2 linked regions of the Arabidopsis thaliana genome follow. The protein of the gene in region 1 interacts with the protein of each later gene in a pairwise test. Each region holds a gene or a part of one and is shown in the gene's direction. Other genes may lie near its edges.

Region 1 (6,431 bases):
GTGTATGCGTCATATGACACAATGCTCTCGTCATCTTGTGTCTAACAGAGTGAAATAAAGAACGAACAATTGTTTGTATACACACAAATACAATCGCACCTACATGTGCACATATTTTATTACGCTTATCTATAGAAAACTGTTTGATACATTTTTTCATTCTAAAGTAAATACACAATCCAAAAAATACTATGTCATGTTAAGAATGTTTAGTATATCTATTTATTTTAGGACAAGGAACATTTAACATATAGTAAACAGTTTTAACAAAATTTCTCTGATTTGAAATATATTTTTTATATTATCAGTAAAAAGAAAACTGTAAAGGTAATTATAGTCGTTGATTAAGATTATACTTAGTTTTTTAAAATAACATGTTTTAAAAATTTTGCAAAATAAGTTTTTTTTTTTACATGTCTCATAATTTTTGTCCTCAGTTTATGTTAAAAATATTTTGTTATTTTGATACTAACATCTTCCATACGCTGAAAACATCTTTGAGAATATTTTTCAAAACACAATATACAAAAATCCACAGTGACTTTATTCCACGATGAAATGATATCAAGACATATATGTTCTTACCTTTACCTTTCAACGAAAATGAGAGAAAAAATATATATATATAGTATCACTTTTAGAAAATGTTTTTTTTTGCTAATTAATTATTATATAAAAATGTTGAGAGCAACTTGATCATATATGTAATAAAGTCGCAGTGAAAAAAAAAATGTAATAAAGTCGCATACCGACGTTGTGACTCGTTTTTATGTAATTGATTAGTTAAGTACAGAGTTCGTTAGATGTATTTGCATTGTTACAATTACAGAAAACCCTACGCAACACAATTCAGTACTTTTTACGTCAGCAAAAATAGAATCTTTCGTTGAAAATAATACCAGAATCGTTCTTGTCTTTAATTTTCTTACCTTTTTGTAATTGGATATGATTTTTGACTATGGAATTATTATTATTTTATTCTATAAAATTATAGTTTTTATTATTGGAATCATTTATAAATGCTATTACTCAGTGTTCTTTAAAGTCCATACTAACGAATTCAAGTACTTATTTAACAAAACAAAACAAACAAATACTAATAAACTAAAAGTACAAACATTACTATGTTATTAAAAAAAGCATATAGCTGCGTGATTTTAAAGGTATATGTGACATATAATACAACGACGCCGTCGTATTTTATTGAATTTTTTTGTCACTTTTAATTAGTATACAGTGAGGAAATAAGCAAAAAGAAAGAAAAAAATATTGTTGGCTCGGCTAGTACCTATAAATAAAAACACTAGTATTTGGCCCAGGATATAATCATTGCAAGTTTAGAACTAGTTAGCTAATCTAAACCGTTAGATCAAAGAAGCAATCTTACTAATCAGAAAAACAAAATTCAACAAGTTACAAGAATGAAAAAAATAGGGATAAAAAAAAGGATAATTCATTTACATTCGATCAAAAGGCGAATGCATAGATCATAGATGCAAGACACTTGTGAGTTGTGATATAACCAAAAATTTATTTAATTATATGTAATATATATTCGAAAAATTTATACACCGTATATAAAATATTCGAATAATCCTTTTCTTTGATTTAAAAATATTTTCTGCTTGTTTTCTCAACTCATGTATTAATTTAAATAATAAAAGTAGCTACCACCTTTCTCTGCCCCACTTTAAGATAAAGCTAAAGCATGGAAAAAAGCATGGGAAAAAAGTAAATATATGATATACAATCAAATAAATCTAAAAAAATAGAAAAGAAAAATTAAAGGAACGAAAAAAAGAGGGAGGAAAAAGACAAAATTAAAAAACAAAAATAAAAATTCCAAAAAAATTAACATCACATGTTATCAAATGAGATCAAAATTTAAGTTAGTTTTGAGTTTTCTCTCTCTTTCTCTTCTCTAAAACTACTTAAGCTAAAGAATCAAACACTTCTCAACGTTTCTCCAAAGCCTCTGATTAGTAAACACATAAAGAGATCTATAGAGAGAGAGAGAGTAGAGATAAAAGGTGATGAATAGAGGTGTGTTGGAGAGTTCGCCGGTTCAGCAGCTGATGGCAGCCGGAAACCCTAATTGGTGGAACGTAAGCGGCGGCATGAGGCCACCACCACCGTTGATGGGTCATCAGCAGGCGCCGTTGCCACCACATATGACTCCTAATAACAATTATCTCCGACCACGGATGATGCCCACTCCCTTCCCGCACTTCTTGCCATCTCCGGCGACTTCTTCTTCTTCCTCTTCTTCTTCACCGTCTTTGCCTAATAACCCTAATCTCTCTTCTTGGCTTGAAAGCAATGATCTCCCTCCTGAGTCTTGGAGCCTTAGCCAACTTCTTTTGTAACTATCCCTCTATCTCTCTCCCTCTATAAATATTCCAAAATGAAATATTCTCTATACGCACATGACATGATCTTGTGTTTACTTACTAGTTCACTCTTTGTTTTCTCGTGTGTTGCTACTTAGTCCTAATTACCTTTTTGTTATACGTATATACGTATATACATGTATGTGTTTGTATTTTAAGTATCAAACAAACAATCTAATATTTTGGATATTTTCTTTGTGAACTTAGGGGTGGATTGATGATGGGAGAGGAAGAGAGATTGGAGATGATGAACCATCATAATCATCATGATGAACAACAACACCATGGTTTTCAAGGGAAGATAAGATTGGAGAATTGGGAAGAACAAGTGTTAAGCCACCAACAAGCTTCCATGGTGGCTGTTGACATCAAACAAGAGGGTAACATTAACAACAACAATGGCTATGTCATATCTTCCCCGAACTCACCTCCTAACAAATCTTGTGTTACAACAACTACCACAACAAGCCTCAATAGTAACGACGATAACATCAACAACAATAATAATATGTTGGATTTCTCTAGCAATCACAATGGTCTTCACTTGTCAGAAGGGAGACACACTCCTCCGGATCGATCCTCTGAGGTAACACTTTTTCCACATCTCAGAGATTTTGATAATATACGGAAAAAGCTCGGAAATAATATCTAGTTTTACACATAAATTAGTAAACACATCAACTACTATGAAAAAGTGAAATCTAAAACGTCATTTAAAAAGATCAGGACAACATATTTTATTTTAAGGTTTGGATCTAAATTCAACACGCAACCAGGATGAGTTTTGCTCTGAATTTTTTTTGATTAAATGACTAATTGATCTTTGTTTTGTTTGTTATCTATATATGTGATGCAGTGTAACAGCTTAGAGATTGGTGGGTCTACTAATAAGAAGCCAAGGCTCCAACCTTCTCCTTCGTCACAATCAACCCTCAAGGTAACTAATTGATTATATCAACGAAACTTTGGATAACTTATATAACGTTTTCTGTATATAAATTCCCTCCCTGACATCATACTAACAAAACAAAAACACAAACACAAAGGAGAACAGAAGAAGCAAACAAAACAGAATGGGCACAGAATAAGCTGTGTGGTTTTGTGTTTTGTAACTCTTTTGTTCTCTCCTGTTTTGTCTTCTTCTTCATTCTTCAATATTCCTTTCCTCTCTTTATTTCATAAAAATCAAACTTAAATTAATAAATTTCAACATTCTCCTTAGAATTAGACGACACTATATGTAATAAATTTTATTTTATAGAATATGGACATTTTGAGAGATTTCAAAGTTCTGTCAAAAAAAAAAAGAGATTTAAAAGTTTTGTTTTTTTCTGTAACTTGTTTTGAAACGTAGAAATGGAAGAGTCGCATTAGACATTGGATTCAATAATATCATGATAATTATATATACTAGTGAAAGTAAAATAATTGTTTATCACTTGTACATGCTAAGTAAGCACGTTTTCTCTATGCATGGTAATTAGTAAAAATAATATGACCACACATGCACATATATATAGAAAGCTTTTTAATTGATGCTATTAATTAATCTATGGTGGTAATTAAAGGTGAGAAAGGAGAAACTAGGAGGCCGAATCGCAGCGCTTCATCAGCTAGTATCTCCATTTGGAAAGGTAAAGATCGATTCCATTAACAAATCAAATTTATTAATGTCGTCTAATATTCCTCTATCAAATCAACTTTTAACATTAATTGTGGAGATTTTTTTAGTTTCATTCTTGTTAATCTAAAATCTAAATCATTCTTCATCCCTTTTTACCCATCTTTTGCAGACTGACACAGCCTCTGTCCTGTCGGAAGCTATTGGATACATTAGATTCCTTCAGAGTCAAATTGAGGTGTGACTCGTCTTTTCCAAACTCCAAATATTCTCATTCAGTAAAATAAAAATAATGCTTATGATTACTCCGTTTACCAAAAAAAAAAAGAAGAAAAAAAGGTTGTGATTACTGAGAAATAAATTACAGAATAAAGCATAATGATATTATATAAGAAAGAATAAAGATAGTAGTATAAAGTTTTGTTCTCTCCATGTTAAGTAATATTTGATTGATGTGATTATATATAAAGTATTTATGACTTTTTGCAACTGTTGCACTGTTGCAGGCTCTGAGTCATCCATACTTTGGTACGACTGCCTCGGGGAATATGAGGCACCAACAACATGTAAGTAGCAAATTTTCGTATATATACTGATATACACAAACAAATCATCATGCTATCGTTTTATACCCTTAACTTCTTCTTTTTCGATAACCTACACGAAACTTTTTATACTTATATATTATCTCTTAAGTCTTAACTATGGTTTATATGAATAGTTGCAAGGAGATAGGAGTTGCATATTTCCTGAGGACCCTGGTCAGGTACGTCCATTTTTTCTTGGTCACTATACTTTTAATATATAATTAGAGTCACTATACTTTTTATTGGATCAATTGAATCCAAATCTAAAAAATGTGGACAGCTTTAGTTTCCAAAATTTATCCTTTTTTTTCTTTTGTTTTTTTTCTTTTCTACTGTTTTCTTTAAAGTAAAGTTGGATTAATATTAAAAGATGCAGCGGCCAGCTTTTTTTTCACCCTCCCTTACATTATTATAAACCAAAAAAGTTCGTTAAAACCAACAAAGCCACTAAATTTATTTAAATATCAACTTTTTCTCCTTACTTGTTTTCTTCATCTAAGTGAAATTCAAATTCCTTTGGCGGGGTTTTATATATGCTTTTCACTAGGGGAAATTCAATGATTTTTTTTCTTATCACCTCTTTATATAGGTGTTAGAGAACATGTGTTTACTTTTTTTGTTAATCAATGCTATATATCATGATTGTTTTTTTTTTTTTTTGATATGGTTTTAGCTCGTGAACGATCAGTGCATGAAGAGAAGAGGAGCTTCGTCGTCATCTACGGACAATCAAAATGCAAGTGAAGAGCCTAAGAAAGATCTGAGAAGTCGAGGTTTATGTCTTGTCCCAATCTCATGCACACTCCAAGTAGGCAGCGACAACGGCGCGGACTATTGGGCTCCAGCACTTGGCTCCGCCGGTTTCCATTGAGCCAATGAAATTACGCCACGTGGAATTCCAGCGTTAGAGAAAAATGATATAACATCACGAGCAGTCAGTCTACTGAGAAAACAACAAATTGAGTTTCCAAGGCTGATTGCTCATGATGCTATACAAAGTTCTTCGTTTAAAACTTTGCTAGAGAATTTGCGTCTGGCGTCTGATGAATATGCGTTTGGCGTTTCATCATTTGATGCGTTATCAGATGATATGACCAAGTGATCAATTTATGTTCTTGCTTTAGGAAACTGTTTGTTTTCTTTTACCGGTTAATTGTAATTTGTGGTTAAGTACTTATTTTAATTACTTCCACGTGGTTTGTATCGTTATAATTTTGCTATTACTTATAATATGTCTATTGTGTGGGATATATACGACATGCAGACCATTAAAATAAAAAAGTGTGCCGGAAAATATCGATATAAGTTACTTCGTTTGCCTTTTTCATGCGTAGTTCTTAATTCACGTAAATGATCATCCACAATGAAAAAAGAAAAAGAACGAAAAAGTTCAGAAATTATGAATCTTATTAATTATTATTGATAATTATTTTACTTCACTCCACCATATGTGTGAACTAGTGGAGCCTTGGAGGATCACTAACAAAGAAGAAAATAAGAAACAAGATATATCATCACTTTTTGAGAACTTGCTCTTCATTTAAACGGTTCATTTCTTCTCTTTGAAGTTACGATCATCAAAGAACTTCTTAGGGTTGCTCTCAAAAGCCTCCCTCTAAACGCTTTGTCGTCCACCAGATCCAGGAGCAACCATTGTTTTACCGATGTCGGAAGTGCTACCAGAACCACCGCTTCCGCCACTCGTACCAAAATTCTTGGCTCCATCAGCTTTGGTGTTCTTGGCGTCCATGGCTTGATTTTGGGATTGGAAACGATTATAAATTGAAGGTTTGGTTATTTTGTGAATCATGAATTCGACTGTTGAGACTTAGA
Region 2 (5,391 bases), on another chromosome or scaffold:
TTTCATTTTAAAAAGTTATTATCATATTTTGTAATTATTAATTTACGAGTATCGTCTTTGGGATAGGATGTTTGTGATCTTGGGGGCATAGAAAAAAACAGTAGAATTTCGAGAGCTCTAGCATCATTGATGAATGTACCTGCTCGAGTTTATAATTTTAGACCATTGTCAATTATCATCGTGAAAAGATTATTAAAACATGAATGTAATATTTCATTCTCGGATTGTATTAATAAATATATAATATGTTTCATTTTATGAGTAATTTTGTACTATACATAATTCAGTTAATGATCAATTGCGGAAAATTCTAAATTTTTATATAATGAGAAACTTATTTACAATTTTAAAACTTATTTAACATTCGTATATATGAGTTGAACAAATGCACCATGTGTGTGTGAACAAATTTGCAGTACCATGTAAAACTAATTAGCTTACCAAGATGGACTACAAGTGTTTTTGGTCGGGCTAGAAGTAAATGGGTTGGAAACTGGTCATAGATATGGGTAAACGACCAGCGGCTGTGCTCTTTTAACCATCTCCTAAATTACTTTAATCCAAAGCCAATATTTTTTGATCATTCTCATTAAAATGGTTGGTTTTCCAGTGAATTTTGAAGTTAAGGTATATCTGTAGATAGTCAAGTAGCTAGATTAATCATTGGGTAACACTTAGGTGGTCCGAGACCATTTTGGGTAGCTCCAATGTACATCTCTTGAATTCCATCGATCCAAAGGGTCGTTTGGTTTCATCATTCTCCTTAAAATGATGTACTCTCTGAAAAGAAAAAAAATAGGTTAACGTCGTTAGGTCGAATGGATTTTTCAATGGGTAAGTAAGTATTTTTGATTTTGGTATGGTTCGGATAAATTCACGTTTATCCGGCTAAATGGCTCGAACATTTTGAATTCCACCCAAATGGTTAATCAACTTCTTAGGAAAACCTTTTGAGTGAATATCCAAGCCTCTATTTAATCGATCAGATCTAGGATTGGACAAGGATATCCTCCTTGTATTTGGTTTTTGGTGGGACTAATTAGGTAACTCCTTGGTCCATGTAAAATTTTTAGAAGCCACAATTGAAACGTAAGAAAGGCACTAATAATCACGGGCATGCCATCATCACCCATATACAGTATAATATTTATATAAGATTTTTTACACATATTAACAAAACACAAAAATCTCATTTAAATTATTTCCTTTCTATAAAAACATTATTAATTACACCTAATTTAATTAATAAAAAATATGTAACAAAATATAATTGATCAAAAATATTAAATATATTTAATTTTTGTATAGAAAAATGAAAACAACATTTATTTTACAACAACAAAACAAATCATTAAACTACATGAAAACACAAAAATAATAAAATTGCTAAACAATAAATGTTATCTAAGAAAACTATAATTGTATACAAAAGCTAGCTATTACACTTAGCACCATATAAATAAACTTCTTATCCATCAATGTTTAATATATATTTGTATAGTAAAATAAAACTAGTTTGCATCTGAAAAAGTATAATCAAATAAAACTCTTTAGATAGCAATATGTACATTAAAAAAAGACTTATTTTCATACGTATTAAGCTGTAAAAAATAATGATTAAGATTTGGGGTAAAGAGAAACCAAAGTTTAAGACGGAAACGAAACAAAAGATGATAATCATCGATTCATCATCACGATATAATATGGGTTGCTAACCACAATAGAAAAACAAAAGTTCTTTTAAGGTTTTAATAATATATCACCAAAAATGATAATTAAAACCTAAAATTAAAATAATATATCTACAAGACTACAACAATTCTGCTTTATAATAAAGCTATAAACCTCAACATTTTTCAACCTCTTCCCAAAAAAAAGTGTAGAAGCAGAAGAAACCCATCATCATCATGATGAACTCTTCTCTTCTAACTCCTTCTTCTTCATCTTCTTCCCATATCCAAACTCCATCAACAACTTTCGACCACGAAGACTTCCTCGATCAAATCTTTTCCTCGGCCCCGTGGCCCTCCGTCGTCGATGATGCTCATCCTCTTCCCTCCGATGGCTTCCACGGCCACGATGTCGACTCAAGGAATCAGCCGATCATGATGATGCCTTTGAATGATGGCTCCTCCGTCCACGCTCTTTATAATGGCTTCTCCGTCGCCGGATCTCTTCCTAACTTTCAAATCCCTCAGGTATAATCTCTTTCTCTTTTCTAAGTTTTTCTCTTCTTGAAAACGAGACTTATGGTGAAATATAGGGATCGGGAGGAGGATTGATGAACCAACAAGGACAAACGCAAACGCAAACGCAACCTCAGGCGAGCGCGTCTACAGCTACTGGTGGTACGGTGGCGGCTCCGCCGCAGAGTAGGACTAAAATCCGAGCTAGGAGAGGTCAAGCAACTGATCCTCATAGTATCGCCGAAAGGGTTAGTTGTTTTTGTTTTTTATTTTACTTTGTTCGATGCATTAATTTGTATCAGTTACCGAGAAAGGTGTCGAAATTGAATTTTTTTTAGCTTTTTGAAGAAAAGATTTGAGTATTTTCTGGAAAAAATGTTTTTATGGGACAGTTACGAAGAGAGAGAATTGCGGAAAGAATGAAAGCTCTTCAAGAACTCGTTCCTAACGGCAATAAGGTAAATTTTTATTCAATTCATTTTCAGTTTAGTTTCCAAAAATTAAGATTAGTTAAAATATTAAATGGATCATTATGAAAATAAACTTCACTTTCCATCATTTTATTCATCATCCACTCTTGATTCGTGCGATCCATAATTCCATCTAATTTACAATTTAAACTCCATCGTCTATTTATAGTTCTCATCTTCTAGACCTAAAATTGAAAAAATACAAAATAAATAATGAAAATAAGTGTCGAAATGATCAGGAACTTTCTTGGAGCTAGTTGTTCAAGAGATAGTTTTAGGCTGTCAACTAGAACTTTCAGGAGTTAACAAGTAAATTTATATTTTTTGTTTTACTCATATAATTGGTGGTTGTGTAGTCTATCTATATATAGGAGTAGCTAGTAGTATATATCAATCAAATGATTAAACACTGATTAGCTAATTAATTAATTAGGCTACAATAATAAAGTTAACTAATGCAGTAATAAATGAGTTAGGATCTCAGTTCTGACAGTTTTGTTTTTGTATTTTATTTGTATAATAATGGACAGACAGACAAGGCATCGATGCTCGATGAGATCATAGATTATGTCAAGTTTTTACAACTCCAAGTCAAGGTGAATCTCTCCCTCTCTCTCATATATTTACAGTTATTATTTTATTAAGTTTGTTTTTCATACGTACAAGGGGTAATTCTTTTACAGAGTGCAATTTGTTTTATTTTATTCTCTTCAATATAGATGGAAGATTCGTTTTTTTGCCTTTTAGTTTGACATATTAAACAAAAAGAAAAGCTGACATATTAGTACAATCTTTACATACCAATATATCAAATTTATGGGCCTCTGCAACTAAAATTCCTTATGCTCCCTCCTCAAATTTTATATATACATTCTGGATTATTATGTCATATAAATACATACATGATAAATAATGTTTTTAAGTTATAAATTAGTGGACCAGTGTACTTAATCATTCTGTTTTGAATTTAATTATGCGTTTTAGGTACTGAGCATGAGCAGATTGGGAGGTGCTGCTTCCGTTTCTTCTCAAATCTCCGAGGTAACTAATATATTACTATCTCTACGTACTCATTTTTCATAAATTTCAATAAACATCAAAGCCAATGGACAAAATTAAGAAATTAGACAATCACTTTTCTCTTATAATGTTAATTAGATTTTACAAAATATTATTTTGGTGTGTAAAAATAGATAAATCGTGCAAGACGTTGAAAACAAAATGAATGTAAAAAGTTTCCAGAAACAGAAAACAAATAAGACAAATTTTATAATTCTAAAATAGAGAAATATAAAAGAGAGCACGCGTGCCGACTAATCACTTAGGGTTTCGCTTTCTTTGTCTTTTTGTTTTTCAAAATGTTTTGTTTTATTTTGCTTAGGCTGGTGGATCCCACGGGAACGCATCCTCCGCCATGGTCGGCGGTAGCCAGACGGCCGGAAACTCCAACGACAGCGTTACAATGACGGAACATCAAGTGGCCAAACTAATGGAAGAAGACATGGGCTCGGCCATGCAATATCTTCAAGGGAAAGGTCTTTGTCTCATGCCAATCTCTTTAGCCACCGCCATCTCAACCGCCACGTGTCACTCCCGTAACCCTTTGATCCCTGGAGCTGTTGCCGACGTCGGAGGTCCTTCCCCTCCCAATCTTTCTGGCATGACCATACAGTCGACGAGTACAAAAATGGGTAGCGGTAATGGGAAATTAAACGGTAACGGCGTGACCGAGAGGTCGTCTTCTATCGCCGTTAAAGAGGCCGTATCCGTTTCGAAAGCGTGATAACGGCCGTTTACTTTTGGGGTTAGGCAGAGAGATACCAAAAACAAAGAGAAAGTGGGGTGAAGTGGGAGATAAAGTCAAAGTCTACGAAGAATGAGGTTGAGGTTGTTTGATGTGTTCTCTGAACGAAGCCATATTTTTCGTAGAGTTTTGGTTCTTTTACCTACGCACTACAAAACCATTCAAGGGACATTTCTTTTTCTTTTTTAAATATATGGTTGCAATATGTTTTATTTTTATTAAATAAAGTTGGTATCGTTGATCTGAATATTAGGCTAGAAAAAGAAAAAAATAGTATATTGGTTTTTCACTTAGAGATGGAGTTATAATCTCGTCTCTCAAATCTCAAATATTGAATCCAAGACTTTAGATGTTTATGGATCGCACAAGTCTAAATATTAGGATATGAGTTTGAAGAATATACAAATTCTGTACAAAACAAAGAGGTACGTACGTCTATACATTTTCACTATAGACATCAATCATCATTTAACAATTTTACAGTAGCAGTCTGTTTAAATGGACCTACTCAATACTAAAAAGTCTAAAACATTTTCTTAACTTGACACCATTAACTTTTTATCACAACACACGTCTATCTCAAATCCACACTACAAAATTAATTTTTCTTTTTAAATTACATCTTTGATCTATGAACACAACCTAGAAACCAAAACGTATTCCATCGAGGAAACTCTAGCTCGCTAATTAACAAAACTTGTTTTTTTTCTCTTTTTTTTTTTCCTAAATATTTTGGCTAACCCAAACAAAGCCTGTCTCTTATGTAAAAAATTCATGTCCTCATTCCCTTTTGCCAAACTAGCATATTTCCTACTTTCCATTAGGAAATTATTGCTCTCTATACAACCCAATATTTCAATATATATTTATCATATCTTTGAAATATCCTTATGACTCTCTTTTTGTTTAATGCCTTTCCTCTTGAAAATAT

What was found.
Region 2: the proteins of AT4G29100 (region 1) and LRL1 interact in a two-hybrid assay, tested with the Arabidopsis thaliana proteins (one large-scale study listed by BioGRID).

The regions. Positions count from the first base shown.
Region 1 is NC_003075.7:14,339,107-14,345,537, forward strand, and holds AT4G29100 (basic helix-loop-helix (bHLH) DNA-binding superfamily protein), read left to right. Parts: upstream 1-1,858; 5' UTR 1,859-2,033; coding exon 2,034-2,362; intron 2,363-2,597; coding exon 2,598-2,976; intron 2,977-3,246; coding exon 3,247-3,327; intron 3,328-3,958; coding exon 3,959-4,024; intron 4,025-4,183; coding exon 4,184-4,249; intron 4,250-4,517; coding exon 4,518-4,577; intron 4,578-4,732; coding exon 4,733-4,777; coding exon of another isoform or gene 4,778-4,819; exon of another isoform or gene 4,820-5,271; coding exon 5,272-5,469; 3' UTR 5,470-5,907; downstream 5,908-6,431.
Region 2 is NC_003071.7:10,318,694-10,324,084, reverse strand, and holds LRL1 (LJRHL1-like 1), read left to right. Parts: upstream 1-1,661; 5' UTR 1,662-1,907; coding exon 1,908-2,198; intron 2,199-2,227; exon of another isoform or gene 2,228-2,263; coding exon 2,264-2,434; intron 2,435-2,578; coding exon 2,579-2,644; intron 2,645-3,186; coding exon 3,187-3,252; intron 3,253-3,640; coding exon 3,641-3,697; intron 3,698-4,037; coding exon 4,038-4,439; 3' UTR 4,440-4,872; downstream 4,873-5,391.